Linked DNA regions of Stegostoma tigrinum. The protein of the gene in region 1 binds, or shares a complex with, the protein of each later gene. Links are inferred from orthologs where the notes say so. Each region holds a gene or a part of one and is shown in the gene's direction. Other genes may lie near its edges. The genes, in order: csk, pag1 and tyrosine-protein phosphatase non-receptor type 22-like.

Region 1 (10,378 bases):
ACTCCTATAAGGTCACCTCACAACCTCATGAAGTTTCGAAATGTTACCAAGTAACATTTCACTTGATAACACACATACATTTTTATTTTAGGTGGTAGCATTTTCCCTGCATGTTTCATAGAGGTAAATGTAGCCATCGAATTATATGTATTTTCCAGCCTGTTTATCTTGCCTACATTTTGCCAATCACTTACTATCAGCTTAACAAAGTGTGAAGCTGAATGAACACAGCAGGCCAAGCAGCATCTCAGGAGCACAAAAGCTGATGTTTCGGGCCTAGGCCCTTCATCAGAGAGGGGGATGGGGGGAGGGAACTGGAATAAATAGGGAGAGAGGGGGAGGCGGACTGAAGATGGAGAGAAAACCAAGATAGGTAGGGAGGGGATAGGTCAGTCCAGGGAAGATGGACAGGGCAAGGAGGCGGGATGAGGTGGTAGGTAGGAAATGGAGGTGCGGCTTGAGGTGGGAGGAAGGGATGGGTGAGAGGAAGAACAGGTTAGGGAAGCAGAGACAGGCTGAGCTGGTTTAGGGATGCAGTGGGGGAGGGGACGAGCTGGGCTGGTTTTGGGATGCAGTGGGGGAAGGGGAGATTTTGAAGCTTGTGAAGTCCACATTGATACCATTGGGCTGCAGGTTTCCCAAGTGGAATATGAGTTGCTGTTCCTGCAACCTTCGGGTGGCATCATTGTGGCACTGCAGGAGGCCCATGATGGACATGTCGTCTGAGGAATGGGAGGGGGAATTGAAATGGTTCGCAACTGGGAGGTGCAGTTATTTGTTGCGAACCGAGTGGAGGTGTTCTGCAAAGCGGTCCCCAAGCCTCCACTTGGCCGCCTCTACATTGGGGAAACCACACCGGGTGCAATGGATACAATATACCACATTGGCAGATGTGCAGGTGAGCATCTGTTTGATATGGAAGGTCATCCTGGGGCCTGGGATGGGGGTGAGGGAGGTGGTCAGGGGGCAAGTGTAGCACTTCCTGCAGTTGCACTTATTATCAGCTTGTACTGTTTAGTAATGTTAGTAAATCTGGGTGATGAGAAATTGCTATTGCACTGTTTGGGGTGCATTTTACTTGCCATTAAATTTGCATTCATGGTGCACTGGATGAAGTACATGTGGTTTACATTCTGATTTCTTGTGCAATTACTGCTGGTTAATACATGTTGTGGTTTTTCTGAACATTATTGTTTTAACTTGAAGCTAATTCTTGAAAAACTCGGAAAATTTGGAATTAATTTTGAAGGAAGAACTGAAACATATACTTACAATTTGGCTGAGGCAGAAATTTAATTATCAGACCCCACCCATGCTCACATTTGCGTCCTCTACAGGCTTTGAAAGCAATCTATATCCCAGTTGGCGCCTAGCTAATTTTCTTGGTGTTTTCACAAATCATTTGTAATTCAACTTTACTGTTAAATCTCTGTTTTCATTTGATGTAAATCAAGATGTAGAAAATGATTGCTATTTAAAGTTACATTGCAAATTGAGGGTAGAATGCATGAAATATTATTTTATATGTTCAGCTGCAGACGGAAAATGTTAATGCCTTCAGCTAAACTGTTTTCATTGGTCAAATGGTTCAGTTGTGGAGGGGGAACTGGATTATTATTGGTCTAGGAATTTAACTGGAAGACAGAGTGCTTGATGGCTGCATCAGAATCTGTCCAGTGATCTATGTGCAAAATCTGCATTGCACTTAGTTTCTTCAGTGCAGACACCATGAAGAATCACACTGGACTGAACATATTGAAAAGACAATTGAAATAGTGCATGCAAAATCCCAGAGACTCGTTGGAGACTTTGTTGTTCGGTCCATTCCTGATCTTTCTTTGTAACAGCAGAAGTGCCATACTTGCCTCTGCTCTCACAGGCAACCAGCAACAAGGATCTGCAGGCAAGTATTGGTACTGAGAATCTGTCAGGTGTGCTTCCCTTTCCCTTTTCCATATTCAGTATTTTACCATGTCTTTCACAGTGCATAACTTACAAGGTATTTACTGTCAATTTTATTTGTTTGTATAGCCATGTGAGTGCTGAAATTATCTGGCCTGAGCACTTCAATGTGTCTCAAATGAGACATAAGTGGTGGGTTCTTTTGGAATTTAACTTCAGTGTGCTGTGCGATTATAACGTGTTGATCATGGATGTCTTTGTAGTTACCATTTTGTTATTTGGGGTGAGGGGGACAGAAAATTTCATTAACCTTGTTAGAGAAATGAGATTGCACCCTAGTAATTTTTATTAACCTTGGTGAATAAGAAATGAAAATGACCTGCAGAGAGATGTTTAAGATTATTAGCACAGAAAGTCAGTCTTTTTTTTGAGCAGAGATATGAATGCAAAGCATTAGCCCTCCTATGTTTTGTTGCTGTGACTGCAGAATGCTGCTGATCTGTTTGAAGGAGTTGGTGCATATCGTCAGTACTGCATCAGTCTGCAGAATAGGCCAGCCTAACTGCCTATGGTAAAATTGTGCACCGGAGCAAGCTGTGATGCGATCAGCAGCTATCATTTTTGCTTTGACGTATTGTTGCTGTTCTGCTAATTAGCTCTCTGCTGTGTTCCTTTACTTTGAAGGCTGGTGCTGTATATATAGAGAGAAATTTCTTAATTGAAGCACGAATAATACCAATACTATGGCCTGATTTAGCATCTTTGTCTCAACCAATTTATGAAAGGCAGTTTTTTAAAAAATAACTGCCTAATATGTGACAGCATTAGCTGTTTTTCCCTAACAGTGAAAGTTACACATTTTAATAATTATGCTGTAATAGCCTAAAATAATTGCTACTGTTTGCAAATCAAATGTATTAGTTCCAATCTTTCATTCAGGGGTGAGAGTTGCAAAACTCTGCTGGATAGAGCTTTGGGGGGAAAAGACAGGCTAGTCTGGAATAATTTTGTTTATTCAGACTGAGATAATGTGCCGGGTACGAAAACTGTAAATCTTGGTCCTCTTTGGAAGTACAGAATCGCTAATGCTGTGCGTTTCTAGTTTAGTGACTCCTCCCCTTGAGTTCCTTGGGAGGAGATATAGCAGCAGCTGCTTATGTTTTTTTATATTGGTGTGAATCCAAAAGTTCTTATGTACTCCACATCAGTATACCTCAGGCTGGGTCCTTGAACAATATGGAGGAATTGAGGCCCTGTTAGAACTCTTGCTGTATTCGACTGCTGAAGAGCTTTGGTCATTTCTTTGTGTATTTAACACAGAGGCACCACGTGAGCTTGCTACCATGAGATTTGGAAACAATTACTCGAGCTTAAACTTGTAACTGGCCAACTTTTGTTCCAAATTGACTGGTGAATAGAACTATTTTACAAAATAGTAGAATTCATGTTACATTTTGTACTGAAACGCAATCCAACCAGTTGATATTGGGTCAGGCCATTGTGACCAGCCACTAGATATGTAAAAGTGCCTTATCTTGTACGTAATGAAAATTGTGATGGGTTAGACAATAAATGGCACTGCTGCCCCAAGGCACCAGGAACCTGGGTTCCGTTCCACCCTCGGGTGACTGTCTGTGCAGAGTTTGTATGTTCTCTGTGTCTGCATAGGTTTCCTCCCAGGTGCTCTAGTTTCCTCCAACAGTCCGAAGATGTTCAGGTGAGGTGAATTGGCCATGTTAAATTGCCCCATAGTGTTGAGGAGATAGCAAGAACTGCAGTTATTGGAATCAGAATCGATACATTGTGGAGCTGGAGGAGCAGAGCAGGTCAGGCAGCATCAGGGGAGTAGGAAAGTTGATATTTTGGGTCAAGACCCTTCTTCCGAACTGAATTGAACTTCAGAACAGTTCTGAAGAAGCCTCCCAACTCCAAACGTCCACTTTCCTATGCTGCTTGACCTACTGTGTTTCTCCAGCTCCACACGTTGACCCGTCGTGTTTCCCTATGTGCAGACTAGCTAGATTAGCCATGAGGAATTGCAGGATGATAGAGCAAAGGGTGGGGCTAGGTGGGATGCTTTTTAATGGTTGGTGTGGGCTCAGTGGACTGGCCTGCTTCTGCCTGACTGTGACTCTTATAAAGACTGCTGGGAATTATTGTTTGCTGTAGGATTATTTTGAAACCCATGTAATTGGCCTTTAATTTGTCAAACCAACTGGATTTAATGTATGCAAGAAAGACACTTCTTTTAAAATGAGGCAAAACACGTTATAGTTAATGTTTAAAGTATCTAAACTTTACAGGTATTTGTGCAACCCGATCATGTTTCAATATATTCAGATCTTTCTGGATAAAAGCTTGGGCTGGGTGACCATATCCTAGATTTTGCTTGGTGTCTACACCTTACTTGAGTATACATGGGGAAAGTTCATGTAGTCTATTATCTTGATTTAGGATGTTTTGCTTTGGAAGCATTGTTGATTACTTTTAATTGTGGATGTGTTGTGCCTGAATTGAGAATTGATTTGTGCCGTTTTAACTGGATGTGGACTGAAGTAGTGGTATCTGTTTGCAAAATGCAACTGTAAGTCAGTGCTTTTACAAATATAGAAAGATTGGACCCAGTTCTGGTCTTCACCAATTAGCTTTCTGGAATATTCACATCTAGTGGGGCTGTCTTTTCTAGGAACATGAGCTGAGTTTTTAAACAAAATATTTTCTTTTAGAGCTACAAGACAAATGTCATATTGCGTGCTGTCCATTTCCTAAAGACACTGCTATGGTTCCTTTAGCTACTTAAAAAGATGGTCCTTGCTTGTTTTTTTAGGTTTGTGAGGGAGGCCCACCATTTAGGTACCTACTGTGATGATGGGGACTGTATTTGGGCCAGTATTCTCTTCTACTTGGTAATTAATTAGGTGTGAAGCACTTTGAGAAACTCCAAGCACACACTGTGCTGCTACATCAATGTAAATTACACTAGGATTGGTTCCAGTAAGTTTAGATCAAGCTCCAGTCTTGACCTAGGGCTACTTCATTCTTAAAAGATGACTCCTGACTGAGTATCCAGGCAGTAAAGGCAAAGTTTAAATTGGCACCACTTTGCAAGTTAAATTTCCTATGTAGAATAACAAAGCTATTTCAAGATGCATGCAGGACATTCTGTAACTCGGAAAAATCATTATTTGTAATTATGGAGTGCCTTCTTACATTCAAACACCCGACGTGCTTCACACTGTGAATTTTAGTGACTAATTAGATCTAGCACAATGCCTTGTGGCACTATTTCCCAGAGCCGTAAATGATGCGGCTGGCCAGTTAATTTATTTGATAGTACGGTATTTGTCCAATGTCCAGTGATTATCTTGGGAAGGTTTAGAGTAGTTTTCCACTGAACCTCTACAAACAAGAATTTTTTTTCTTTGAAAAGATGAAAGGTTTTTTTTACTGTTACGGTACTCCTTTGCCTGTGCATTATTTCTCAATTTAGATCCTTTGACAGTATTTGTTCCCTCTTTTGTGGGTTTGATTTAAGAAAAGCTATTGCATATGCTTGGGTTTAACACTAAATAATTTAACCACATCTCTGTGTACAGTTAAAGACACACTGATTTGTTACTGCCTGCTAATGCAAAGTACATGGATGTAGTTATTTACTTGGATTGTGACTGTCATTGAGATTCTATTCATGAGCAAGTACTTATTGAAAACTGTACAAGCTCTTATTGCAGACAGATCTTCAATTTGAAGTCAGTGACATTAATCTGTTGCAATTGTAAACTCTACTATACTTCTGCCAACTCCTGGTATGGTGTTATATAATCAGCAGTATGTATTTTTCACGTGAATTCTTTAGTCCTGGAGTTCTATGATTCATGAATAACTTGTAGATCTCTTAATTGTGATTATCGTGAGGACTTCCTATTTTACCACACTGGTGCCTGGTGCATTTTTGACTGTTTTGCAGCTCGCTCAATGAAGTGGCACCACATTAAACATGGCAGAGGATGAAACAGAACCTAAGGTCTATTTAGAGGATGAAACAAGGCATAGATAGGGCCTAGTTATTTTACGTTGAATAGCGTACAACTGAAACTGTAGCGCATAACATCTAGATGGTGTGAACCTAACAACTGGTTTTAAGCGTAACGCTGGTGTTTGAGTTTAAATAAATATACAGCTATTTCTATTTTAGTCTTTTTTTTTGGAGTTTTTAATTTATTACTTGCCATGGTCTCCTGGCAACCATCATTATAGTGGCTTAGTGTCATTGCAAGAACCAATGAGTGAAAAGAATGAGCTGGTGTTACAGTGGAAGAGATCACCAACAGCTGTTTATTGTGACCTTTTTAAGCTAACTTATTCTCACTGCTTTGTGGTAAAAGTATTGAGGGTAACTAAAAGTTGCTTGTTTTTTTTAAGGAGAGTCTTAAAGGAGGAAAGAGTCTTGGGAGAGAATAGACGGCTGAATACATGCCTGCGCGTGGCCAGATAGTCAGGTAAAGCATATAAGAGATGCCAGAAAGGTTGGAGCTATGTAATGACAGAGTTCTTGAAGAGTGTAAGGGTGTGTTGGCTTTAGGAGGACTTTTTTAAAGTCAAGATTTTCAAGACATGAAATTGTTTTTCAATCAAATATGGCCTTTGAAATGCGAAAGGCCAAACCCAAAAAATGAATTTTTGCAGGGTTCTAGAGCTATTAACCAGATCAATATTCTGCTAAATTTTGTTATTTTCCATAACAATACTGACGTTCTTTTGAACTGTGGAGAGAATGCTTATAAGGACAGAATGGAAAGTGGAGTTGAGACTGAGATCAGATTAAAAAATCCTTGTGTCGTCGTCCTAGTTTTCAGAGATAGAAATGGCAGCATTTTTGTACCCTGAATAACTCTTGAATTGAGCATTGAGAGCGGTTAAGAGTGAACCTTATTGTTGTGGGCCTGTAGGCACGTGCTAAACGATTTTGTTCCCGAAGGCTACTAGTGAACCAGATTTTTGTGACAATTGGTAGTTTTGTGACATAATCACTGAGTAGAAATCTGCAATGTGTCTGTGATTATGAGCTTGTGTAGTTTTTTAGTTAGGAATGTGCAGGACTGCTACTTGCATTTTGCCCTCATGTATTTTCGGAAGAGCCTTTTGGTCCCTCTTTCAATTTGTAAACGAAGAAACCAACTGTGAAAAACTCAGAAGTCATTGTATCTGCGTGACAATATTGTATACATCAAAGTAGTTATTGTATTGAAATTTCAGCTACAGCTGCCTTCTTGTTTACCATACACACCTGTTAGATTGGAATTCTACAAGTAAATATTGTCATCCAGCAGAACTGTGGCTATCAAAACAACGTGAAAGTTCTTGTATATTTTGTGTTGTCTGATATGCAGTTTGCAAGTGTTTATTGTGCTTATGCTTAGAAACTCTGGATATGTTGCATTGGGATAACTGGTAGGAGCAAGAAAAATGAGAGAATATGGGCAAGAACAAAGTTGCTGAAAAAGCTCAGTAGATCTAGCAGCATCTGTGAAGAAAAAAACAGTTAACGTTTCAAATCCGGTGGCCTGCCCTTAGTACTGGAGGAGGGGTCACAGGATCTGAAATGTGACTTTTTTTTTTGGCTTCACATACTGCCAGACCTGCTAAGCTGTTCTAGCAATTTTTGTTTTTCTTCCTGATTCACAGCATCCACAGTTCTATCAGTTTTTATTGAGAGAATACGGATTTGGTCATTCTGCCCACCCTTTTTTAATGAGATGTCCCAGATTGCTGTATTTTTCAAATGGGAGCCTTTTAGTGTTCTGGGCTATGTGTGTGCTTTCTGATCTGTTTCGTCTTTGCAGCTGTGTAGTTTCTGTACCCTTGTAGAAAATTTTAGGTAAGGATATCCTAATTTCTTTTTGCCCTTGCATTGCCCATTAGTGATAGGCAGGTGGTGTGAAAAGATGATGTATTGAAAAGATCTGTTTTGGATTTTGTTTCATGCTGTTAGTGTGCAGAGACATTATACCACAATTTCTTGTTGCTTTCATGTTTAATTTGAGATGTTTCAAATAACGGACATTTTGTGACTGAAGGGTTAAACCTCAGACAGCATTATAGCATACACCAGATGGTGGCACTTCATCACTGTATTAATAAATTGTATTAATGACTTTTAAATACTTGATCTGTATTCATTTCGTTTAATACCTGAAAGTTGTGATAAATTGCTTTTATCTTCTGTATGATAGTACCGTCACTTTTTAGTTGGTTTAAAATGAGCTTACATTGAGGCTTTCTGTTACATTTTCTGGAACATAGTGCATCATTTAGGTAGATTCTGGTAGTTCTGTACAAACGTGTGCAGTATTTTTCTGAATGTAAAATCTGTCTGGCAAATGGCTGCACGACATTATTGCACCCTTTTCATTTTCGATGGTTACAAAGGTTCCTGCGGTGCATGGTGATCTTGATATTTTTTTTTGGAAATGGCATTTACTTCTCTTGTGCTGGTGCAGTGTAGAAATGCACTCCTTAGTGTTCTCTAAGCCTGACTACAGGAACAAAGTAGATTCAAGGCAGGAATTGTAGAGTGCTGAATTTCTCTCCTGCTCTCTGGTATCTTGCTGTGGGAGGAATAGAAATGTGGATGTTATGGGAGGAGGGGGACCTGGAGATTGTTCTGGGTGTTTTAAACAATGTCGGGTAGAAGCTAATTATATAACAGATTCTGGTGGAATGGTGACATGAATTTTCCAAGGCATTACTCTTTTATAATTCCAGTGAATAAAAGCAGGAACAGCAACACAGCAGAGTGAAATATAGAAGCTCAAACTGGGCTTAACCTGAATAAATGGAACTGAATCTCATGGATTATTTAATTTTTAATTTTAATATGTTGAACTTTAATGCCAGTAGTGTGGATTTGTTCCTTATCCCCTCATCCCACTTACCATCCTCACTTTGTTATCCATTGATTATCCTAATGTATTATAAAACCCAACTAACCAATTATTTAGTGTCGTTGATTATGTGCTATTACATTGGATGTAATATTTTGTAAGAAAATTAGTTGCCATTACCGAAAGGAGTTGTGAATAGTTGCTGGAGAATTGTTTCCCTCGCTCCCCCACTGGAAAGTGAGGAGTACATTCTGCATTCATCACATAGGGGAGACCATTCACCTTTATCAGGATTTCTTGCTGCTTTTGGCAATTCCTCACCAGCTGCAATTAATGAGAGATAATTTCCTGTATTTATCTTGATTTCATTTTAAATATTCATGCTTTCTTTAAACAAATGTTTACTCCTTCAAGCAAGTTATAAAATTAAAAGAAACATCAAAACTTATGTTTTGTTTGCTGCTTGGAAATAAGGACAATTTTTTAAATTTTGTAATTTGCATAATGTGAAATAAATTCCTATTTTTAACGGTACATCCTTCACTTCCGAAGACCATCGCAGTGACTTCTTTTTGCCCCTTGAACATTTTAGCAGTCAAAAGATGATTTGTTTGCAGCAGTGCCTTCCTCAAGAAAATGGTTCCAGATTTTAAGGTCTTTTTAGTTCCCAACTCCCTTTATCCGCAAGAAGAAAAAGTTGTATTTATAAAACATGTAAGACCCAACTGTTTAACAACAAAATCTGCTCCACATCCAATTAAGTATTATATTTGAAGTATAGTCATTACTATGGTGTCAGAAATGGATCTGGATTCCTTGCTGGCCTGCTCCGGGTTGAAACTAGGTTGACACCAGTGCAGTGAGGATATGCTCTTTTCTGCTTCGTTCTCACATGGACTGAAAATCTATTTGTCACCTATTTAACCCTGGGGACAGAGCATTCTATCAATTTAAACTTGGGGACAGAGCATTCTATCAATTTAAACCTGAATTCAGGGGTTCCCTTCAGAGTGCCACGAGTTTAAATTGAGGGCTTTATAATTTGCAATCTAAAATAATTGCTTTTTAATTTTTATTTAATTACCCAAAATAACGTATGTGGTCACGTTAATGTCGTAGACCAGGAAAAAGTGATGTAAGACTGCCTGTTCCTCCTTCCTCGAATGTTGACTTTTTTGTAACTTCTTTCAGTGAAACTAACTTAGCTGATCTACCTTCGCATTTGCTAGGTTGGCATGTGAAAATGCCATTTAAAAGCTCCACGGTTTGAATTTTTAAAAAAAAATTCCTAAGGGCTTGATATCATAGGGTGGATCAGTAATGTTTTTATTTGGTTCCATACTTTGGCACTTGGCAAGACTGCTGTTATTTTTCCAGTTTTTGAAAATGTTCAAGTGGTTTTCTATTTTGTTGAGGACATGACACAATAAATCTCACAATATCTCTAACAATACTGTGTGTAGGAGTGAATAATAATAGGTTATACACATGATCTAATGCAATTGTTGTGCAGTCTTTGGCAAGATCAGAATAGATGGCCCAGATTTTAAAGTACACTGCAAACCTTTATTGAACATAGGCTTCAAGCTGAT
Region 2 (11,297 bases), on another chromosome or scaffold:
ATTCCAAACTCCTGACTTGCATTCTGTACAAAAACATTGCTGGAGAAACTCAGCAAGTCTGGCAGTATTTTTAACAGGATTTGTCCTGCTCTTTGTTGTCAGGACACACAGATGCTGTATTGGTACACCTTGGCTAGGGGAGCAAATGGTTAGAGTGTCATGGAGTCATACAGCATAGAAACAGACCCTTTGGTATAACTTGCCTATACTGAGCAAGTTTCCCAAACTAAACTAGTCCCACCTGCCTGCATTTAGCCCATCCCTCTCTAAACCTTTCCCACTCATGTACCTGTCCAAATGTTTTTTAAATGTTGTAACTATACCTGCATCTGCCACTTCCTCTGGCAGTTCATTCCACATAATGAACCACCCCACACCATGTGGGAAGAAGTTGTCCCTCAGGTCCCTTTTAAATCTTTTTCCTCTAAACTTAAAATTATGCCTATTTTGAACTCTACGGAAAACACTTTTGCTATCACCAAATCTATACCTCATGATTTTAAAAACCTCCGAGATCACCCCTCAACCTCCTACGCTCCAGTGTAAAATATCCCAGCTTATCCAACCAGTCCTTATTACTCAAACCCTCCAGTTCTGGTAATATCATTGCAAGTCTTTCCTGCACCCACTCCAATTTAATAATCTGTTCCCTACTGGAGGGCAAGCAGAGCCATATACAGTACACCAAAAGTGACTTCACCAACATTCTGTACAACAAGCGATATGACATTCCAACTCCTCTATCAAATGTCTGACCAACGAAGGTAAGCACACCAAACACCTTCACCACTACCTTGTCTACCTGTGACACAACTATCAATGAACTATGGACCTGAACGCCTAGGTCACTATTCTACAATGATCCCCAAGGCATTACCATTAACTGTGTAAGTCCCACTCTTGTTTGTCTTACTGCCAGTAAGTTGTAAGGGTCCATAACCCTTGCAGCATTCAATCATTTACCCAACACACCGAGAAAATTGAATTGATTGAAGATTGCATCTATGATGCTAGGGAAATCAGAAGGGCATTACTCAGTGTTTCTGAACAGGTTTGGACTCCTGGGTTCACGGTCACAGTTGCGTATGGCATAAGCCAGACCATGCAGTTACAGATTGTGGTTGAAGACAATTCTGCATCTGATGCTTTCAGCCCCACATAAATGTCCATTTGTTATGGTATGTTTGTAAACTATCCCATTCAGCCTACATGACAGAGGCAAGTAAAGGTAGGACTTTGGCTCACAATGACTGTGTGATGGGCACCATGACGAAATTTGGCTTTAAGAGGTGCATTTCGTCCTGGGTTTACTTTTGGAGAGGGGTTGGTACAACACAAGCAGCAAAAATGAGTGGTGTTAGGCTCCCAAAGAACCAGGGTTTTAGTTCAGTTTCAGTATTTGTTGGGGTTTTGAAGCTGGCTATTGAAGTTGCTCCGTCTCTCTCTCTCTCAGCCACATCTTTTCTCCCGGACTGGAGAAACACTGCATGTGAGACAATCTATTTTACTGAATTTGCCTTTGCCAAAAGTATGTTTATGAGATATTGCTATGTTGGAACAGTTGCTGTTTAGTAGTTAAATCATCTACTGTTCTGTTAAGATTTCCAATAAAGTTTTTATACTGACTCTTCTTTCTTTTGTTTGTATTTTAACCGTAGGATAAGAATAAAGTGTGCTTTGCTTAACGCCTAGTAGTGTGACCATCGAATTACAAATGAAATGCAGCACCTTAAACTTGCCTTTATAGAAGATAAAAATTAGGGTCTGGGCTATCTCCTTGATATATATTAAGGAGGTTTGGTATGGTCGTAGCATCACTCCTAATGATGTCACGGGCATCAGCTACAGCTACATCTGTGAAAGCAAGGTCAATTAAATGTTACCATCTTGTTAATTTTCTGACCTCCTGAGTGAAGAAACTCTATTGTTTAGGACTTGATCAGTTGGTCAGTAGTGGTTCTACTATGCCATTCTTGGTGAGGGATTGAAGTCTCGCATTTCTTTTGGATTTTGTGTTCTTGCCACCCCAAGTCCCATTTACCTGTTGCTATGACAGGATATGCCAAGGACCCTGCGATGATAGTCTTACAGTACGGGGTTTGAAATAGCTTGGGAGACGAACAAGCAGCAATATAAGAGGGAAAAATACTTCATTGAAGAGCCCAGCTCTGGGTAAACAAAATCAAACGTTAGTTGATAAAAATGTCACCAAACGAGCTACTTTTTAAAAGATGGCTCATGTACACCTGATGTACATTCTTGCATGATGAAGGGACAACAATCAAGGCCGGAGTTCAATGGTAACAAAGTAGAGTGTAGAATGAATCAGATAAAGGGTCTATATGACAGATGTCAAATGTTAACACAAGTGAGAACCAAGCTGAATATAGAAAGCTCAGAGAAGAGCTGAGAAAGGAAATACAATTGCAACAACAGAGTCTGAGGAAAAAAAAAAGTGGTACCTGACATAAAGGCAGGAATCCAAAGATTTTCTTCTGGCATACAAACAACAACAGGATGGTTAAAGGAGGAGTGGAACCAATTAGGGACCACAAAACAGATCTGGTATCTCTCAGAGATAATGGGAACTGCAGATGCTGGAGAATCCAAGACAACAAAATGTGAGGCTGGATGAACACAGCAGGCCAAGCAGCACCTCAGGAGCACGTGCTCTTGAGATGCTGCTTGGCCTGCTGTGTTCATCCAGCCTCACATTTTGTTGTCTTGGTTATCTCTCAGATGCTAATTAAGTACTTTGCACTTGTCTTCACCAAGAAAGAAAACAATGCAGTGGTAGTTGACATACCACGTGCATGACAAGTTGATAAAGAACGGCTATTAAAAAGCTGATTGTAAAGACAAGTCGCTAGGGTTGAATGGAATGTATTCAATGGCATTAAGAGAAGTAACTATAATGCCATATGAATTTGGAGGAGTAGAACAATCAGCCCATCAAGCCTGTTCGTTATGCAATAAGATAATCATGACTGATCCGATTATCCCACATTCCCAACAGTCCTTGTTAACCTTTCACTGTCTTGCTTGTCAAGAATTTATATACCACTGGCTTTAAAATAGTCGAAGGCTCTGCCTTGGAGAAGCAGGGCTGCAAACACATGACCCTTTGCGAGAGAGCATTTCTCTTCATCGCCATCTTAAATGGTGACCCCTTATTCTGAAACAGAGATCCTGAGTTCGAGATGATCCCACAAAAACATACATCCTTTCACAATGTACCCTGTCAAGACTCTTCAGGATTTTCTATGTTTCAGTCAAGATACTGCTTAAGTAAGGGTGGAAACTGTGCATGTAGATATGGAGGTAGCTCCAGAGGACTGGAGAACTGCAAGTGTTCCACCCTTGTTCAAAGTAGGGCAGTTTAATTTTGTAGTGAGAAAGCTTTTAGAAATTTGAATCCATAACAAAATTAATAGTTGCTTGGACTGGTGCAGCTTAAGACTTGTTAAATGCAAAGTGAGCAGGTGTGATTGCACCTGTAGATAGAGACAAACAGAGTTAATGTTGAGTTCGATATGACTTTTTTGGAACTGAACAGGTCTGGAAAACTTGTGTTTTATGTTGCAAATAAACAAAGGGGACAGAAAAGAAGGAGCAAATGAGACAGATGGGAAAGATTCTTGAAGGCTGTAAAACATCCAAGCAGAAAATGAGCTGCTATTCCTCCAGCATGTGTTGGGCTTCATAGAATATTAAAATAGGAACGAGGACGGAACTGGAAGCAAGATGGCATATTGAAATAGCAGGTGGCCAGAAGATCAGGATCATACTTGCAGACAGTGCAGAGATGTTCATTACAGCAGTCATCTAGTCGCAGTTAGTCCCAAAAAAGTATAAGAGACTATATTATGAACAGTAGATACAGTTGGCTAGACTGAAAGTATAGTGCTCGCGTGAAGCCTTGAACAGTGGGCAGTGAGGAGATAATAAAGAAGTTTTTCCACCTTCTACACTTTGTGATTGCATGGCATGGTGCCATTGAGTGAAGAGGCGTTGAGCACAAGAGGGGCAGTGGGCAGCCCCTGCAGAATGCTAATAGGAGAGTAGGAAGGGAAGAAAAGATATTTTTCATGGTGAAATCTCATGGGGGTGGTGGAGGGTTGCCCTTTGAATGCAGAGTCTGATGGCACAGAAGTGAAGACAAGGGCAACTGTATTATTGCTGTGTGTATTTGGGTGGAGTGTAATGGGGAAGGCAACCAGTGAGGGCAGAACTGTGGAAAATGGGTCAGACATAACCAGTCTCATTAAGCAGTGTGGGGAAGAATCCTTAGTTCAACGAAAGTGATGCATTGGTTTTACTGTAACAGATGCAACGGAGACAGAGAAACGGGAAGAATGGTCAATCACGATTCAGATGTAAATCCATATTTTACAGCATTGCTGCCTTCAATCATATCCAATTTTCATCAGTGTAATGACCAAAACATGATTCTTAAGCTTTAGACCTTTTAAAAGATAGTTGAAAGCTGCAAGAGTTATTTAAACAGCTGTTAAGATTTTGGAACAGAAGTAGTCTATTCAGCCCATCAAGTCTTCACCAAATAAGATCAATATTTTTCCATTTAAATAATATTCAGCTCCTCTATTCAACCTGGCAAAAAGGACACAACTTCACATTTCGCCAAATTAAATTCAATCTTCCAAGATTTCCCCCACTTTCTTAACTGTCTTTACCCACCTGCAAAATCTTTGCATCATCTCACCACTCACCTTCTTATTTTTGTCATCTGCAAACTTCACAATTTTAAATTTATTTTCCTCATCCAAATAAATAATAATGGCCCCAGCACTAATCACTAGTTACTGACTGCCAGCCTGAACATGTCCCCCTTATTGTAACTCTATTAGTTAGCCAATCCTCTTTCCTTGATGATATATGACCTCCAATACCATGGTCTCTTAACTTATTAAACAGTGTAATGTGCGGTTCCTTATCAAAAACATTCTGAAAATCTAAATACATTTACAGCCACTGCTTCACACTTATCTATCATTGTTGTTATCTCTTCAAAGAATGCTAATAAATTTCTCAGGCTTGATGCCCCCTTCAAGAAGCCAACCATCTAGATAAGTGAGGAGCATCTTTGAGAACAGTCAAATATACTTTTACAGTTAAAAGTAGACATGAATATATGTTAAAAGTGGATAAACATATTGAAAATCTCAATCTGTCCAGGGAACTGGGAGTTAATAAGTTATTTAAATAACCTAATATTTACATTTTTAAGAAACCTACAGTGTAAAAAGAAAGTGACTGTCATTTCCCTGCTTGGTGGCATAAGCCTGAGGACTATCACTGGATGATTTGCACTGAACAATTCATTCCACAATCTATTATCAGTTTTGTTCCCTAACACTTCAATTTTACTGACTAGGGCAAGTAAATATAATGTAGTTGAGGAAAGTTAAACACATCAAATTTTGGTTTACAGTAATGAGATTTTTCGAAAAAGGATTTCAGCAAGAAGCACTTGGAACTTTATTATATTTCATCTCATTTTGGGCACTGAGGTCTGCTCACAGTATATACAAAGTGAACTGGCATTGAAAATGTAAGGACAAAGTGTGGTAAACAGAGTGATATGGGTGACCAGACCGCCATACCTTGGTAAGTTCACCATTCATCTTCATCCTTGCGTATTCATCTGCAGGCATGTTTGTGACTTTTTATATTTTGGTGCAGTCACCCATATTATTGGCTATAGCCATCCTCACTTAATTTCAGATTAACTCTAAATTCCTCAACATTAGCTCACTTTCTGAACTAAATCCTTAGCGTTGTAAACAATAGTGGCCCAAGCGCATATTCCTCCAGAACACCACTTCCCTTCCGTCCAAAATTATTCCCTTAAATCCTGGTTTGCAGCAATATTTCTCTTCATTTACCTACATAGATCTGACTCCCCATCCTGTGTCTTTGTCAGAAGGCTCTGAGATTTAACTCAAGATTTTTCTGATAGGCCACATATATCACATCCTCTGCATATGGAATCACAAAAGGGCTACACCAGACACCATTCTCCCAGTCATATCCATGGTGGCTCCCTGTAACAGCAATTGACTTAGCATCTTCAGCTTCACTGTGCATAGTTTTTTTCTTTCCAGATAACACAAAAGCAGAGTGAAGGCTTCAGCTCCACTTTCTTTTCCACTAACAGTGCCTGATAAACTAAATGTTTCCAATTTTATTTCAGATTTTCAGCATATTGCTTTTTTTAAAAGAAATCTCCAATATCTGCATTGCTATTTAATCTTCCATAGGCATAATCGGAGTGTGGAGGAAGAAAAACAGAAATTGCTGTAAAATCTCAGTAGGTCTGGCAGGATCTGTGGAGAGAAAGCAGAGCTAACTTTCCGGGTCCAGTGATGCTTCTTTCAAGTTGCCATCAGCTCTGAAGAAGGGTCACTGGACCCGAAACGCTAACTCTGCTTTCTCTCCACAGATGCTGCCAGACCAACTGAAATTTTCCAGCGATTTCTGGTTTTGTTTCAGATTTCCAGCACCGGGAGTTGCTTGGATTTTAAAAACGAAAATGAAGGACATATATTGATACTGATATTGATTTACAATAGGAACTCAGACCATTATGGCACCGCAGTTTCCATGCAACTGGATTCATGTCTTCCAGAAAATACAATTAATTCTGTTGAGGAGTCAGTTTGTTTTCACCAAAGGGGCAAACTATCAAACTAAGACAAAAATCACCAGAAGAACGAGTAGGAAATGAAGCTTTATTCTGAGACCTTTCCTACCTGGCGCCGCGAACATTGGACTCAAAGGGACAGAACTGCACAATAACTTCTTTCACGGTTCTCAGGACAACTCGACCCCTAGCCGCCGCCATCTTACGTGCCTCCCAAGAGGCCGGGGCGGGGTGATAGGTACCCGCGGTGCGCTCTGGGAATTGCAGTCCATTTCCTGCCCTGGGTCCAGGCCCGAAACGTCAGCCTTCCCGCTCCTGTGATGCTGCTTGGCCTGCTGTGTTCATCCTGCTCTACACCTTGCGACCTGAAGGTTGCGGTGAGCGTCGGCGATGCGTTCGGACAGGCGGCGGGACGTCATGACGTCAGTATCACCCCCTCTGATGACGCCTGCCTGCCTGCGGCGCTCTGTGTCGGAGCGTGGATCCCGCTGTTCAGGGCAGCGCGTGCGCATGCGTACCCCGCCCCTGCCCAGCTGTTTGTAGCGACTTGGGTGTCGCACTGAGTGTGGGAGGAGCAGAGCCAGAGCCAAGGATCGCAGCAGTGTAGCTGCTGTGGAGAGCCTGGTGGGAACCAAATTATTACAGCTCTGAATGTGTGATCTCTATTCTTCATACAGTTACATATACAGTACGTTACAATTGACTACTTTAGTTGCTGTTTATGTTCGTGCTTAAGCTCTATCAACTTGAGTGTGAAGCAGCTGCGAGATTTAGCGACTTCTTTCATCATTTTTCATGGTAAGTTTTTTTTTCTTTTAAAATCCCCTTTGTAAACGTTCAGTTTCGTAGCCAGATTTGTGAAATATGGAAATTATTAGTTGTGCTCAACATCTATTAACTAGTAGCTAGAAAGTCTCATGATTTGATGGTTGTACTCTTCACGCCGGAGATGTACAGATCGTAATACTTTGTCTCGTTGCCTTGAGCACAATGAGAAACTGACATTTGTGGAATTGCTCGAGGCTAAAAATGCTGGGCATTTGAAATTAAATAAAAATGTATGGTATCATACGGTTTATAGTTTGATTTTTAGTGAGTGCGCCAAATACAGTATATTCGCCTTTAGTAACGATAAATCACGCAGTTCGCAAGATAACCTAAATAAATCTTGTGTTTTCATTAGAAAGCGTCAGTTGTCTATGTGACTTGGGTCCAAATCTTCTATAGTTTGTGTAGTGTTGAGCATTATATGCAATGCAAAAATATTTTATTTGCACTTGAGTTCAGAGGAGGTGTCTTCAAACTTGATTTTAAACGTGATTTTTTAAAAAAATAGTTTCTTCTCCAACGGTTTAGCCAACCTTCAGATAAAGATTTCTTTGATCTCATGTTAAATACCTGTCTTTATCTCACTCTCAATAACTTCGGGATCATATGACCGTGGAATGTTGCAAAACTGATCGTTTAACATAATTATATGTTCGATACCACATTATGTGTTCAAGTGATTTTATTTTGTATGTTGAGTGACAAAAACAAATGCTTGTTTGGGAATTACATGTTTAACTGATATTCCAGGAAATAAATGGCAAGTGATTTTGTAAAATCTGCCATTAACTTCAGATGGATTCAATGTTCTAAAATTATGTGGTGTAGTTTGGAAATAGTTTCCACAGTCAAGACACAAACATCTAAATGCATTTTCCCTTTTTTAATATGGTTTTGAGTGAAATTGTTTGCAGGTTCTGACTAAACATTTCCAACTGGCTGCATTACAGTACTAAAAAATATTGCATGCTTTTTCAAGTTCTGAAGTGACAAAATGCTTATCGCTACATGCACATCAGTTAAAGCTCATTTCTTTTTAATTATGTTACATACTAATTGGAGTAGGTCATTTTACCCATCAAGCCTGCACCAGCCTTCATCAAAATCATGGCTGATCTATCTCAACACCATTTTCCTGCGCTATGCCCATACAGCTTCATACCTTTAATTTATAGAATTTTAAAGATACGTTCATGGGATGTGGGCTTTGCTGGCTGGCCATCATTTATTGTCTGTCCCTAACTGCCCTTGAGAAGTTGGTGGTGAGCTGCTTTCTCGAACCGCTGCAGTCCACCTGCTGTGGGTTAAGCCACAATGCAATTCAGAAGGGAATTCCAGGTTATTGACTCAGTGACATTGAAGGACTAGTGATGTATTTCCAAAACAGGATGGTGATTAGCTTGGAAGGGAACTTTGAAGGTGGTGGTATTCCCATGTATCTGTTGCCCTTCTAGATGGAAGTGTTCATGAATTTGGAAGGTGCTGGCTGAAAATCTTTGGTGAATTTCTGCAGTGCATCTTATAGATAGTACACACTGCTGCTGCTGAGCATTGGTAGTGGAGGAATTGGATGTTTGTGGATATGGCGCCAATCAAGCTGTTGCTATATTCTGGATGGTATCAAGCTCCTTGAGAATTATTGGACCTGCACCCATCCAGATAAGTGGGGAGTATTCCATCACACTCCTGATTTGTGCCTTTTTAGGTGATGGAAAGCTTTGGGAGTTAAGAGGTGAGTTACTTACAGAGGTGCAATATTCTTAGCCTCTGACCTGCTCTTGTAGCCACAATTTTTATGTGGTGGGTCCATTGGAGTTTCTGGTCAATGTTAACACCAAGGATGTTGATAATGGCGTTACTATCACTGAATCCCCACTGAATATCAAGGTGTGATGGTTAGATTTTCTCTTACTGGTGATGGTTATAGCCTGGCATTTGTGTGGTACGAATATGACTTGCCACTTGTCAGCCCAAACCTGAGTATTGTCCAGATCTTATTGTATTTGAACATGGACTGCTTTCAGTATCTGAGAAGTTGCAAATGATGCTGAACATTCCCACTTTTGATCTTGTGATGAAGGGAAGGTCATTAATGAAGCAGCTGAAGATGCTTAGGCCTAGGACACTACCCTGAGGAATTCCTGCACAGATGTCCTGGACCTCAAAGGATGGCCCCCAACAACAATGACCGTTTTCCTATGTGCCAGGTATGACTTCAATTACCAGAGAGCTTGCCCCCTAATACTCATTGATTCCAATTTTACTTGATGCCACACTGGGTCAAATGTAGCCTTGATATCGAGGGCTGTCACTCTCACCTCACCTGTAGAATTCAGTTTTTTTTTTCCATATTTGAACCTAGGCTGTAATAGGTCAGGAGCTGAGTGGCCCTGGCAGAAACCAAACTGGGCATCACTGAGCAGGTTATTGCTGAGCACGTGTTGCTTGACAGCACTGTTGATGGTACCTTCCATCACTTTACTGATGACCAGAAGTAGACCGATGGGATGGTAATTGGCTGAGTTGGATTTGTTCTGCTTTTTATGTATGTGACAAAGCTGGGCAATTTTCAACATTGTCAGGTAGATGTCAGTGTTGTAACTATACTGGAAGATTTTGATTAGAGGAGCAGCAAGTCCAGGAGCACAAGTCTACAGTATTATTGCCAGAATGTGGTCAAGGTCCCTAAACTTTGCAGTATTCAGTACCCCCAACCATTTCTTGATATCATGTAGAGTGAATCAAATTGGCTGGAGACTGGTATCTGTAATGCTGGAGACCACTGAAGAAGGCCACAATGGATCATCCACAGGGCACTTTTGGCTGAAGATTTCTGCGAATGCATCAGCCTTATCTTTTGCTCTGATGGGCTCTTCCATAATTGATGAAAGGGATGTTTGCGGAGCCTCCTCCACCAGTGAGTTAGTTAATCATCTACCACCATTCATGACTGGATGTGGCAGGACTTCAGAGCTTAGGTCTGATCTGTTGGTTGTGGAATCGCTTTGATCTCTATTGGCATGCAAGTAGCCCTGTTTGGTGACTTCAGGTTGACACTTCATTTTTAGGCTGATCCTGGCAAGCCTTCCTACACTGCCCTCTGAATCGGGGTTGATCCCTTGGCTTGACAGTAATGGTTGAGTGGGGGATACGTTGTCCATGAGGTTACAGATTGTGCTGGAGTACAATTCTGCTCCTGTTGATGGCCCACAGTGCGTCAGGAATGCCCAGCCTTGAGTTGCTAGATCTGTTTGAAGTCTGTCCCATTTAGCATGGGGATAGTGCCAAAAACCTGATTTGAGGATATCCTCTATGTGATTATGGCACTTTTCTTCTCACAAGTACTGTGTGGTGGTCAGTCTTATTGGTACTATCATGCACAGATGCATCTGCAACCTGCAAATTGGTAAGGATGAGTACAAGTATGCTTTTCTCTCTTGCTGGTTCCTTCACCACCAGTTGCAGACCCAGCCTAGCAGCTGTGTCCTTTAGGACCTGACCAGTTTGCTAAGTAGTTCTGCTGCTAAGCTTCTCTTGGCATTGGACATTGAAATTCCTCACCTAGAGTACATTTTGTGCCCTTGCCATCCTCAGTACTTCCTTCAAGTGTCGTTCAACACAGAGGAGTACTGATTCATCAGCCGAGAGAGTACGGTATCTGGTAATCAACAAGATGTTTCCTTGCCCAAGTTTAACCTGAAGCCATGAGACTTCAAGGGATCTGGAGTAAATGTTAAAGACTCTGAGGGCAACTCTGTCCTGACTGTATTCCATTGTTCCTCCACCTCTGCTGGATCTGGCCTGC
Region 3 (10,465 bases), on another chromosome or scaffold:
AGGAGCACATAGGTGGGAGGGAAGATGGACAGGTTGTGTCAGGTCAAGGAGGTGGGAATGAGAGGGAGGGTTGGTCATGGGATGAGGCCGGGGGTGGGGAGATTTTGAAACTGGTGAATTCTTTGTTGAGGCCATTGGCAGTAACCTCCTGATACAGAATATGAGGTGCTGCTCCTCCAGCTTATGTGTGGCCTTATTGTGACACTGGGGAAGGCCCAGGATGGACGTGTCATCCAGGGAGTGGGAGTGGGAGTTAAAGTGGCTGGCGACTGGAAGGTGCTGCAGAGCGCAGATGCTCCACGAATCGGTTAGCGAGTCTGCGCTTGGTCTCACCAAGGACCACAACACCCCCCCTCCAGTGATGCATTTCTTGCATTTCCCACACTTCTGCCCTCAAACTGCCTCCTCCAAACAAAAATAAGGACAGACTGCCCCAGTCCTCACATACCCCCGCCAACGTCCACATCCAGCCGATCATCCCCCACCAATTCTGCCACCTGCAATCCGACCCCACCACCAAAGAGATATTTCCCTCCCCAACCCTACCTGCTTTCCACAGGGACCATTCACTCCGCAATTCCCTTGTCCGTTCCACACTCCCCACTAACCCCTCCACTCACAGCACCTTTTCCTGCAACCGCAGGAGGTGCTACACCTGCCCCTACACCTCCCCCCTCACCCCCATCCCAGGCCCCAAACAATCTTTCCAAATCTGACAGGGGATCACCTGTACACCCCGCAGCCTTGCCCACTGTATTCATTACTCCTGAAGCGGCCTCCTCTATACCAAGCGCAGACTCGGTGACTGATTCATGGAGCATCTGCGCTCTATATGTTATTGTCAAGAACACCTTCTGGTTGCCAACCATTTTAACTCAACCTCCGACTCCCTGGGTGACATGTCTCCAGTGGCACAATGATACCACACGGAAACTGGAGGAACAGCAACTCCTATTCCACCTCGGTAGCCTACAACCCGATGGCTTCAAAATATAATTCACCAGTTTCAAGCTCTCCCCACCCCTGCCCTCATCCGATGTCCAACCCTCCTTCTCATCCTTGCCTCCTTGACCTGAGACAAACTGTCCATCTTCTTTCCCATTTGTCTGCCCCACCCTTCCCATGTCCTATCTCCACAGCCCCCTACCTGCACCCACCTATCACCATCCCACCTACCTTACCCCAGCCCAAATCCCACCCCCCCATTCATTTCCCAGCTCCATTCCCCCTCCACAGTCCTGAAGAAGTGTCCTGACCTGAAACGTCAACTCACCTGCTCCCTTAATGCTTCCTGGCCTGCTGTGCTCCTCCAGCTGCACACTGCATTGACTCAACTGTTTTCATATTGTTCCAAGCAATTGTCCTGCAGCAAAGAACCAAATCAATGAATATGAAGGAAATTGTCATGCAGTATTTTAAGAAAGCATCAAGGAATCTCTCTGAAATTAGCATGATGGTCTCTTGGAATGAAATTATTATTATAATTCAAGGTTCATGTTGATATCACTGCTATCACATCCTCAGGGATATCTTCACTACTGCGCAGCCAATAAATCATTCTTGAATCTGAGCACAGCAAGGACCCTAATGCAAATATCTTTGATGAATAATAAACATTGACCAGGACCATCCTGGTCTTCTTCAATAATGCAAGGAGTTCTTTCTGCATACGACCAAGCAGTTTACTTTCTCAGTCGAAGAGAGGGGAACTAGCAGATGGTGGAGTTCTCATGTATCTGCTGCTCTTGCCATTCTAGATGGAAGTGGCCGTTGGTTTGGAAGATAATGTCGAAGGAGCTTCGGTAAATTTCTATGGTGCATCTTGTAAATGGTACACATTGCTTCCATCGAGCATAGGTGGTGGAGGGAGAGGATGCTTGTGGATGTTGTTTCAATTAAGCGGGCTGTTCTATCCTGGATGGTTTCCAGCTTCTTGACTTTTGTTGGAGCTGCACTCAAATGGGAAATATTCCATCACACTCCTGACTTGTGTCTTGTAGGTGATGGACAGGCTTTGGGGAGTGAGGAGGTGAGTTACTAGTCACAATATTCCCACCTTCTGAACTGCCATTGTAGCCACTATGTTTATGTGGTGAGTCCAGTTGAGTTTGCGGCCAAGGGTAACCTGCAGAATGTTGATAGTGAGGGATTCATTGATGCTAACACAAGGGGTGGTCGTTAGATAATCTCTAATTGAAGATGGCCATGGCCTAGCATCTGTGTGGCATGAATGTTACTTGCCACTTGTCAGCCTGGATATTATCTATTTCTTGTACCATTTGAACACAAGCTGCTTCAGTATCTGAGGAGTCGCGAATGGTGCTGAGCATTGTACAATCATCGAAGAACATCCCCACCTCTGACCTAGTGATGGAGGGGATGTCATGGATGAAGCAGCTGAAGATGGTTGGGCCTAGGACACTATCCTAAGGAACTTCTATGGAGATGTCCTGGAGCTGAGATGACTGATGTCGATTCACCACAACTATTTTCTTATGTGCCAGGAATGAACCAAACCAGTGGAGAGTTTGCCCTGATACCCATTGATTCCAGTTTTGCTAGAGCTCCTTGAATGGGGGAAAATGCAGGGCATGACATTGCAGATTGTGCTGGAGTACAATTCTGCTGCTGTTGATGGCCCACAGCATCTCATGGATGCCCAGTCTCGAGTTGCTAGATCTGTGTGAAGTCTGTCCCATTTAGTGTGATGATAATGCCACACAGCGTGATGGAGTTTATTCTCAATGTGAAGGTGGGACTTTGTCTCCACAAGGACTGTGTGACAGTCACTTTTACCGATACTGTCATGGACAGATGCACCTGCAGCTGGCAGATTAGTAAGGATGAGGTCAAGTATGCTTTTCTCTCTTGTTGGTTCCCTCACCACCTGCTGCAGACCCAGTCTAGCAGCTCTGTCCTTTAGGACCCGATCAGCTCGATCAGTCGTACTGTTGCTGAGCCACTCTTGGTGGTGGAATTTGTAATTCCCTCCCAGAGTACGTTTTGCAGCTTGGCCACCCTCAGTGCTTCCGAAAGTGTTGTTCAATATGGAGGAATACAGATTTATCAGCTGAGGGAGGATGGTATGTGATAATCAGCAGAAGGTTTCCTTGCCCAGACTTAACTTGAAACCACGAGAATTCATGGGGTCCAGAGTCACTGTTGAAGACTCCCAGAGGAGCTCCCTGACGACTGTATCCCACTGTGCCGCTCCCTCTGCTGGGTCTGTCCTGCTGATGGGACACAACTTATCCAAGGATAGGGATGGTAATGATGGTGTCTGGGATATTGTCAGTAAAGGGATATTCTGTGAGCATGGCTGTTGCCTGACTAGTCCATGAGACAGCTTTCCCAATTTATCTAAACCTTACTGAATCGTTTTTGTCTGGTTTACCTTGTTCTAGATTCTTTTCAAATTTTATGATGAGTCACAGAAGCTTACTTTTCCTCTGACCTCTCCCACCAGCATTTGCAATCTCCTTAGGCAGTTATTAAAGCCCCATCCACAATGAAAAGGAAAAAAAACAGAAAGGTATGGGCTTGTGCTCAGAATCAGATGAATTTACAGCTGAACAACATTTAAAACTGAACCAAGGAGGTTGAAGTAATGAAACACATTCACACATGTTCAACACACATAATCACACATACACAGGCATAAAACACACAGACAGACAGGAAATATACAGACAGTCAAACAAACAGACGCATAGACATAAGTAACACAAATATGCACACAACATGGACAAACACAAGAAGCACAAAACGTAAGACAGACATACACACACAAAGAACAAACACAGACGCAAACATACACACAGAGGCACAAAGCACACAGACATAAACACACAGAGAGGCAACACATAGACACAGGTAAGACATTCACAGACACACACAAAAACAAAACATATAGATGGACAGGCAAATAGACACAAGTACAGACAGACTCACAGACACATAGACAGACACAAACTCACACAAGCATAATTAGATATACACACCCACACACAGGCACACATGCACAAAACACACAGGCAGACACACATATACAGACAGATATGCACAACATGCAAAAAATGCACACCTCCCTTCCTTATTCCTTCATGTCAAGCACTGTGGGTCTACTGATGGAATATGAACTGCAACGGTTCAAGAAGGTAGCTCACTCCCACCTTCTCAAGGGCAACTAGGACTGGGTAACAAGTACTGGGCCAGTTAGTGATGCCCACATCCTGTGAATGAACAAAAATAAGACATACAAAGTGACACACACAAGACATGCACACACACACACACACACACACACACACAAGTTCAGAAGACAGATACACAGACATACATACACACAGACACAGATACACTTACACACACATGTACAAAACACAGAGACAGACAGACACACAGGGACAGACACACATTCACAGTGCACACACACAGACATACACAAATACATACAGGCACAGATATGCACATAGACAGATACAAACTCACAAACAGATACACTCACAGACAGATACATAGAGATATACGCATGTAAAAGAACCATAGCTAACACATACCTCACACAAATACACAACCTCAGAGACTCACAGCAACCCCATCCCCCAGAAATATAACCCCAAACAAATTTTCAGTTTCCCCTACACACAAACAACCAAATAAACACACACATGTAAACACATAGAAATTGCCCACCCTATAGTACACACACAGAACAGGCAGAAATAAAATACAGAAGTATATAAATAAAAGTAAAAATGGATTAGATATCCAAGATTATGTAACATATTACATGCCAAATTTGTCTTTACAAGTATTATTGTAAAGTGATTTGAAGCATTTTATTCCAATAAGGGTGTTGTTTGTGTGTAGGGGAGACTGAAAATTTGTTTGGGGTTATATTTCTGGGGGATGGGGTTGCTGTGAGTCTCTGAGGTTGTGTATTTGTGTGAGGTATGTGTTAGCTATGGTCCTTTTACATGCATATATCTCTATGTATCCGTCTGTGAGTGTATCTGTTTGTGAGTTTGTATCTGTCTATGTGCATATCTGTGCCTGTATGTGTTTGTGTATGTCTGTGTGTGTGCACTGTGAATGTGTGTCTGTCCCTGTGTGTCTGTCTGTCTCTGTGTTTTGTACATGTGTGTGTAAGTGTATCTGCGTCTATGTGTATGTATGTCTGTGTATCTGTCGTCTGTACGTGTGTGTGTGTGTGCATGTCTTGAGTGCGTCACTTTGTATGTCTTATTTTTGTTCATTCACAGAATACAAGCTGTTACAAATCAATCACAGTTCCCTAACTTAAATATTTTAATGTAAAAGAGCAATCTCTCGAGTTGGAAAATGGGTGTAAAACTTTAGAGGCGCCCAAAAAAAACACGAGCGTATACCAAACAATGCAGATACTGTCTGCCATCGCCAAGAGGCACTAGGACCCGCAGAGAGCCTGTCTCTCTTCCCTTCTCTGACCGCAGTAACAGTGACTGCTGATTCCCTCCTGCTTGTGTTAAAACCGCAGATATGCAGTTCAAAGTCCTGCCTTTCAGGCCAGTTAAGTCTCAGCCTCTGTCATGTCCCGCAGTCGCTGGGCAGAGTTACCAGCAGCTCGCCAGCTGTCAGCATGGACCAAGGAACCATCCTGGTGAGGTTCCTCAGGCAGGTGCGCAACAAAGAGGAGATAACCTCGGGGGAGTTTCTGGTGAGTCTCTTATTGAGTTTGCTCTGCTAAAGGCGAGCCTGAGGGACAGAGAGTGAGGTACCGCTGTCCAGGGACACTCTGCCTTCTTTGAACGTGGGGAACTGACTGAGTCGGTTAGAGACAGGAGATAGTCCCGCTGTCTCCCCTCAGACCTGACACAGGGCTTCCTGCTTCTTCATTGAGCGCAGGGTCTCGCACTCGGGTTTCTGTGATCTTTTACTGCATTGTAAGAGTTGAAAGAGGAACAGTTTTCACCGCCATCAACTAAAGACCGTAAGTGGCTGGGGCGCGGAAGGAGATCGCTCGGCCCATTGAGTGGCTGCCCGTTCGCTATCGAGAGATAGAGCAACGAGTCGCTTGTGACTCGGAATTCTGTCCTGCGGATGTTTGCATTCGACGTTCAGTTTTTACAGAGAAAGTAGAATCTGAGGCAGTTTTCATGCTTAGAGGTGTCTGACTATGAATAATAACTGGTCCCTGCGAGTGTATCTGTAGTAGATAGAGGGGAACCCAGGAATATGTGAGTGTATAAACTAGGTCCTTGCCAGTCGGTCAGTGAGGATGACCTGGAGTGCTGTGTCACGTTTTGATCTCCTTACATAAGAAAGGAAAAAAGTCACGGTAGAAGCAGTTCAGAGAAAGTTCACTTTGCTGCTTCCTGCTTGTATGACCATGAAGCATTGAACAAGTTGGACATCTATCCTTTAGAGTTTGGAAGAATGAGAAGTGATCGTATTGAAATATGGAAGGTCCTGAGGAGTCTTGCCAGGTCTGGTGAGATAGGGTGTTTGCCCTTGTGGAGTGGTTCAGAATCGGGAGACACAAATTAAAAATAAGGGGTTTCCTATTTAAGAGAGGGACAAAGAGGGATATCTTTCTCTCAGTGAACTGTTAGTCTTTGGAACAAAAGCAGAAATTGCTGGTGAAACTCAGCAGGTCTCGCAGTGTCTGTGGGAAGAAAGCAGAGTTAGCGTTTCAAGTCCGCTGACCCTTCATCAGAATGTCATCATTAGTCTTTGAACCTGTTTCACTCAGAAAGCATGGAAGACTGGGACATTGGGTTAAACAGAGTGTTGATCAATGAGTAAGTATGGGGTTACAGGGGTCTGGGGGTGGTGGCAGACAGGACATTGGACCTAAAGCTACAACCATATCAGCCACAACCTTATTAAATGGCAGAGCAGGCTCAGAAGGCTGAACAGCCTACTCCTGTACTTAATTCTTGAATTCTTGTGTGTACACATTTGCCGTTTTTCAGGGGCTTCCTTCCGATGAAAGACTCTATCCCTGGGATTTAAGTTTCACTACAAACCTTTTCTATAAAGTTAAACTCATGTATAGTTCTGACCAAAGTTACTCCAACCCCTTTTAATTACGATTTTTGTCAGAAGATAATTTTTTCGACACTGTTTGCAGAGCAGTGAAAGGTATAAAATGGCAGGCCATTAAAGGGATTTGAAGATACTTTTGAAGTTAAGTTACTGGTTTATTTTTAGTACTGTGTAGCTATTCACAGACAACTAAACAACATAACGGAAGATCGTTCAAAATGGCTTTCTAGGCCACAGGAACTTCAACAGTATAGCTGGATGACTGAATGTAGAGAATTCAGCCTCATCAAAATGTCCACAAGCTTTCATCTGTACTCTGTAGCCCATGATTATACAACAGAGATCATTTAAACCATGGTCCATGTTCTGGCTCTTTTTCGGAGCTCATTATTTAGTTCCACTCCCCTGCTCTTTCCCCATCAGCCTGCAAACACTGTTTCTTACCGAATTCTCCTTTTGGAGATCAGTATTAAATATGCTTCCTCTGCCTTTGGAAGAACCACAACACCAGTTCTCCAAACCATCAGTTATAAGGAGACATTACATCAACTCAAGATAATAAAATGTGAGGCTGGATGAACACAGCAGGCCCAGCAGCATCTCAGGAGCACAAAAGCTGATGTTTTGGGCCTAGGCCCTTCACCTTATCTTGGATTTTCCAGCATCTGCAGTTCCCATTATCACCATTACATCAACTCAGCTTGTATTCCTTGGGTGATTTTGATTTAAGTTTTAGGATTTTGACAGAAATCGGCAGGGGAGAAAGCAGGCTGTTCCTGCTGGTAGGTGCGAATCCAGGCCACGAGGGTGTAAGCTTCAAGGGAGAACCAGGCAGTTCAGGAGAGGAATGGAGAAATACTTCATTTAAAGATTGATAGCATGATGGAACTGTCTCCAACAGAAAGCAATAGATACAAGCTTAATAATCATTTAAAAGTTTTGAATGGTGAGTTTTTTTTGCCATAAAAGGATGTGAAGTTAACACAACAAGGTGTAGATCTGGATGAACACAGCAGGGCAAGCAGCATCAGAGGAACAGGAAAACTGATATTTCGGGTCTGGACCCTTCTTCAGAATTTCAGCCATTACAGATCCTCACCCTTAACTCCACCTCTCTCACTTACTCCCAAAATCCCTGATTCCTCATTTCCATGTCTCAGTTTCCTCAACCTGTGCAGTAATCTCTCAGTATCAATCCTGTCGAGTCATTCCAAATCCTTCATGTTTCACTGAGTTCACCTCTCATTCTTCGAAGCTGCAAAAAATGTTGACCCAGTTTACTCAGTCTCTCATTGCAGGAGAACCCTCTCATTCCCAGGGTCCAATCAAGTGAACCTTTATTCATTGCCAGTTCAATGTTGGTAGCAGATGTCCTTCAATTTAAGGATACTCGTTGTAATAACTCAGGAAGCCTTATTGGAAAGGAACATCATTTATTGTTGAATGCCAAAACAGTGCCACTATTCATGGTGTATGTAGGCTCATGCCACTCTGGAACAGACAGTTCTAGGTCTGCTTTATTCTTTTCTTGTTATATCCATACATATTATCACTCAAAACTGAATGGCTTTCCAACCATGAAATCACCATGACTTTTGTTAAATCTGTTTTTAAATTATCAACTACAACCTGGGTTTGTGTTATTTTCCTAATCAGCCTACTCAGACATATTATTACACATCTCAGGAGCAGGGAGGACTTGAACCCAGATCTCTCAGTTTAGTAGTAGGGAAGCCATCACTGCACCACAAGATCCCCTTGCAATCCTCTGCTAAGACCTCAGTTAACCGGCTTGGGATGGCATGGTAGCTCAGTGGTTAGCACTGCTACCTCACCCCAGGTTCAATTCTACCTTTGGGTGACTGCGTGGAGTTTGCACATTCTCCCCGTGTCTGCGTGAGTGTCCTCCGGGTGCTCTGGTTTCCTCCCACAGTCCAAAGATGTGCCGGTTAATTGGATTGGCCACGCTAAATTGCCTATAGTGTTCAGGGGTGTGTGGATTAGTTCGGTTATAGGGAGATGGGTCTGGGTGGGATGCTCTGAGGGTCGGTGTGAGCTTGACGGGCCGAAAGGCGTATTTCCACACTGTCGGAATTTGTGATCTTAACAGGAGTTTCAGCTGCACAGGCTGTAACCAAGGGAACGCGTACTCACCGAGGTCCACAAGGAGATTTTGGCTCAGTGGTTAGCACTGCAGCCTCACAGTGCCAGGGACCCGGGTTCAATTCCAGCCTCGCATGACTGCGCGGAGTTTGCACATTTTGCCCGTGTCTGTGTGGGTTTCCTCCAGGGGCTCCGGTTTCCTCCCACAGTCCAAAGATGTGCAGATAGGTAGACTGTCCATGTTAAATTGCCCTGTAATATCCAGGAATATGTAGACCAGGTGGATTAGCCATGAGAAATGCGGGGTTACGGCGGTGGGATGATCAACCGAGTTTCGATGCAGACTTGATGGACCAAACAGCCTCTATCGGCACTAAGGGGATTCTATGAATCTAACTAATGATTCCCTGTGGGCCTTGTAGGGGTTATCCCACCAGCCCATTCAGTGTCATGAGTCATGGGTTATCATGTGACTGAACAGGCTGACTTCGAAGCTGCAGATCATTGAGCACTCAGGACAGGATGTGCCTCGATGTAGCGGGACTCAGTATGCAGGATGTGCTTCTTTTGCTTGTCTTCTCCTCCACTCCTCTGCCTCATCTATAAGACACTGGGGACTCAAACTTTGACCTGGCTTGATGGACAAGTTGTCACCATCTAAACAATTGGTAACGATCTTCTCACTGTCAACGTCATTGCTACTGCACTTCATAGTGAGTCTGAAGCAGTTTCTTTGTCCCCCCTCCCCCCGCCAGATCACTGGCCATTTGAGAGGTGACAAAACATGACATCATGCAGGAGATATTCTTTGGCCATCCAGATTCAGTATCTACTCATTGATTCCCTACAGTGTGGAAGCAGGCTATTCAGCCCACACTGACCCTTGGCTAACCCACCTAGCCTGCGCAGCACGGGCAATTTAACATGGCCAATCCACCTAATTTACACACCTTTGGACTGTGGAAGGAAACCGGAGCACCCGGAGGAAACTCACGCAGACACGGGGAGAATGTGCAAACTCTACACAGACAGCCGGCTGAGGGTGGAATCAAACCCATGTCCCTGGTGGTGTGAGGCAGCAGTGCTCACCACGGAGCCGCCCTCCACCAAAGTTGACCTTGCAGGAGTTTTATCTGAATGCTAATAGAGCTGGCTTCAGGAGGCAAACTGGCCTTTGGTTGACAGTCTCCCTTCAAATCTGGAGCATGTGGCGGAAGCATTACTGATGGAATTTCTCTTATACTGTTGCTTGTAGCTGATACACAATCTGGGTCTCACTACAGGCCACAAGTGTGGCGACTACAATTGCTCTGTACACCAGTACTTTAAGGAA

Evidence for each region.
Region 2: the proteins of csk (region 1) and pag1 are in contact, whole or in part, in an NMR structure (PDB 2RSY), measured with the Rattus norvegicus proteins. The link is inferred for Stegostoma tigrinum from reciprocal best matches to the Homo sapiens genes CSK and PAG1. Residues at the interface, in NP_001025210.1 of Rattus norvegicus: Thr88, Arg89, Glu93, Arg107, Ser109, Thr110, Asn111, Tyr112, Thr117, Cys122, Glu123, Lys125, Val126, Glu127, His128, Tyr129, Arg130, Ile140, Asp141, Tyr156, Asp161, Gly162; in NP_071589.1 of Rattus norvegicus: Phe291, Ser292, Leu294, Tyr296, Lys297, Ser298, Arg299, Glu300, Glu301, Leu305, Ile310, Met313, Tyr314, Ser315, Ser316, Val317, Asn318, Lys319.
Region 3: the proteins of csk (region 1) and tyrosine-protein phosphatase non-receptor type 22-like are in contact, whole or in part, in an NMR structure (PDB 1JEG), measured with the Mus musculus proteins. The link is inferred for Stegostoma tigrinum from reciprocal best matches to the Homo sapiens genes CSK and PTPN22. Residues at the interface, in NP_001291690.1 of Mus musculus: Phe20, Thr23, Gln26, Ala40, Val41, Thr42, Lys43, Asp44, Asn46, Trp47, Ile59, Pro61, Asn63, Tyr64; in NP_033005.1 of Mus musculus: Pro614, Pro615, Leu616, Pro617, Glu618, Arg619, Thr620, Glu622, Ser623, Phe624, Ile625, Val626, Val627.

Annotation. Positions count from the first base shown.
Region 1 is NC_081389.1:17,786,411-17,796,788, forward strand, and holds the start of csk (tyrosine-protein kinase CSK), read left to right. Parts: upstream 1-6,360; 5' UTR 6,361-6,375; coding exon 6,376-6,401; intron 6,402-10,378. UniProt on the Homo sapiens protein: Non-receptor tyrosine-protein kinase that plays an important role in the regulation of cell growth, differentiation, migration and immune response.
Region 2 is NC_081358.1:21,348,112-21,359,408, forward strand, and holds the start of pag1 (phosphoprotein associated with glycosphingolipid-enriched microdomains 1), read left to right. Parts: upstream 1-7,243; 5' UTR 7,244-7,462; intron 7,463-11,297. Other genes in the region: mrpl53 (39S ribosomal protein L53, mitochondrial), read right to left, coding at 6,774-6,865. UniProt on the Homo sapiens protein: Negatively regulates TCR (T-cell antigen receptor)-mediated signaling in T-cells and FCER1 (high affinity immunoglobulin epsilon receptor)-mediated signaling in mast cells.
Region 3 is NC_081374.1:3,306,411-3,316,875, forward strand, and holds the start of tyrosine-protein phosphatase non-receptor type 22-like, read left to right. Parts: upstream 1-5,536; 5' UTR 5,537-5,620; coding exon 5,621-5,698; intron 5,699-10,465. UniProt on the Homo sapiens protein: Acts as a negative regulator of T-cell receptor (TCR) signaling by direct dephosphorylation of the Src family kinases LCK and FYN, ITAMs of the TCRz/CD3 complex, as well as ZAP70, VAV, VCP and other key signaling molecules.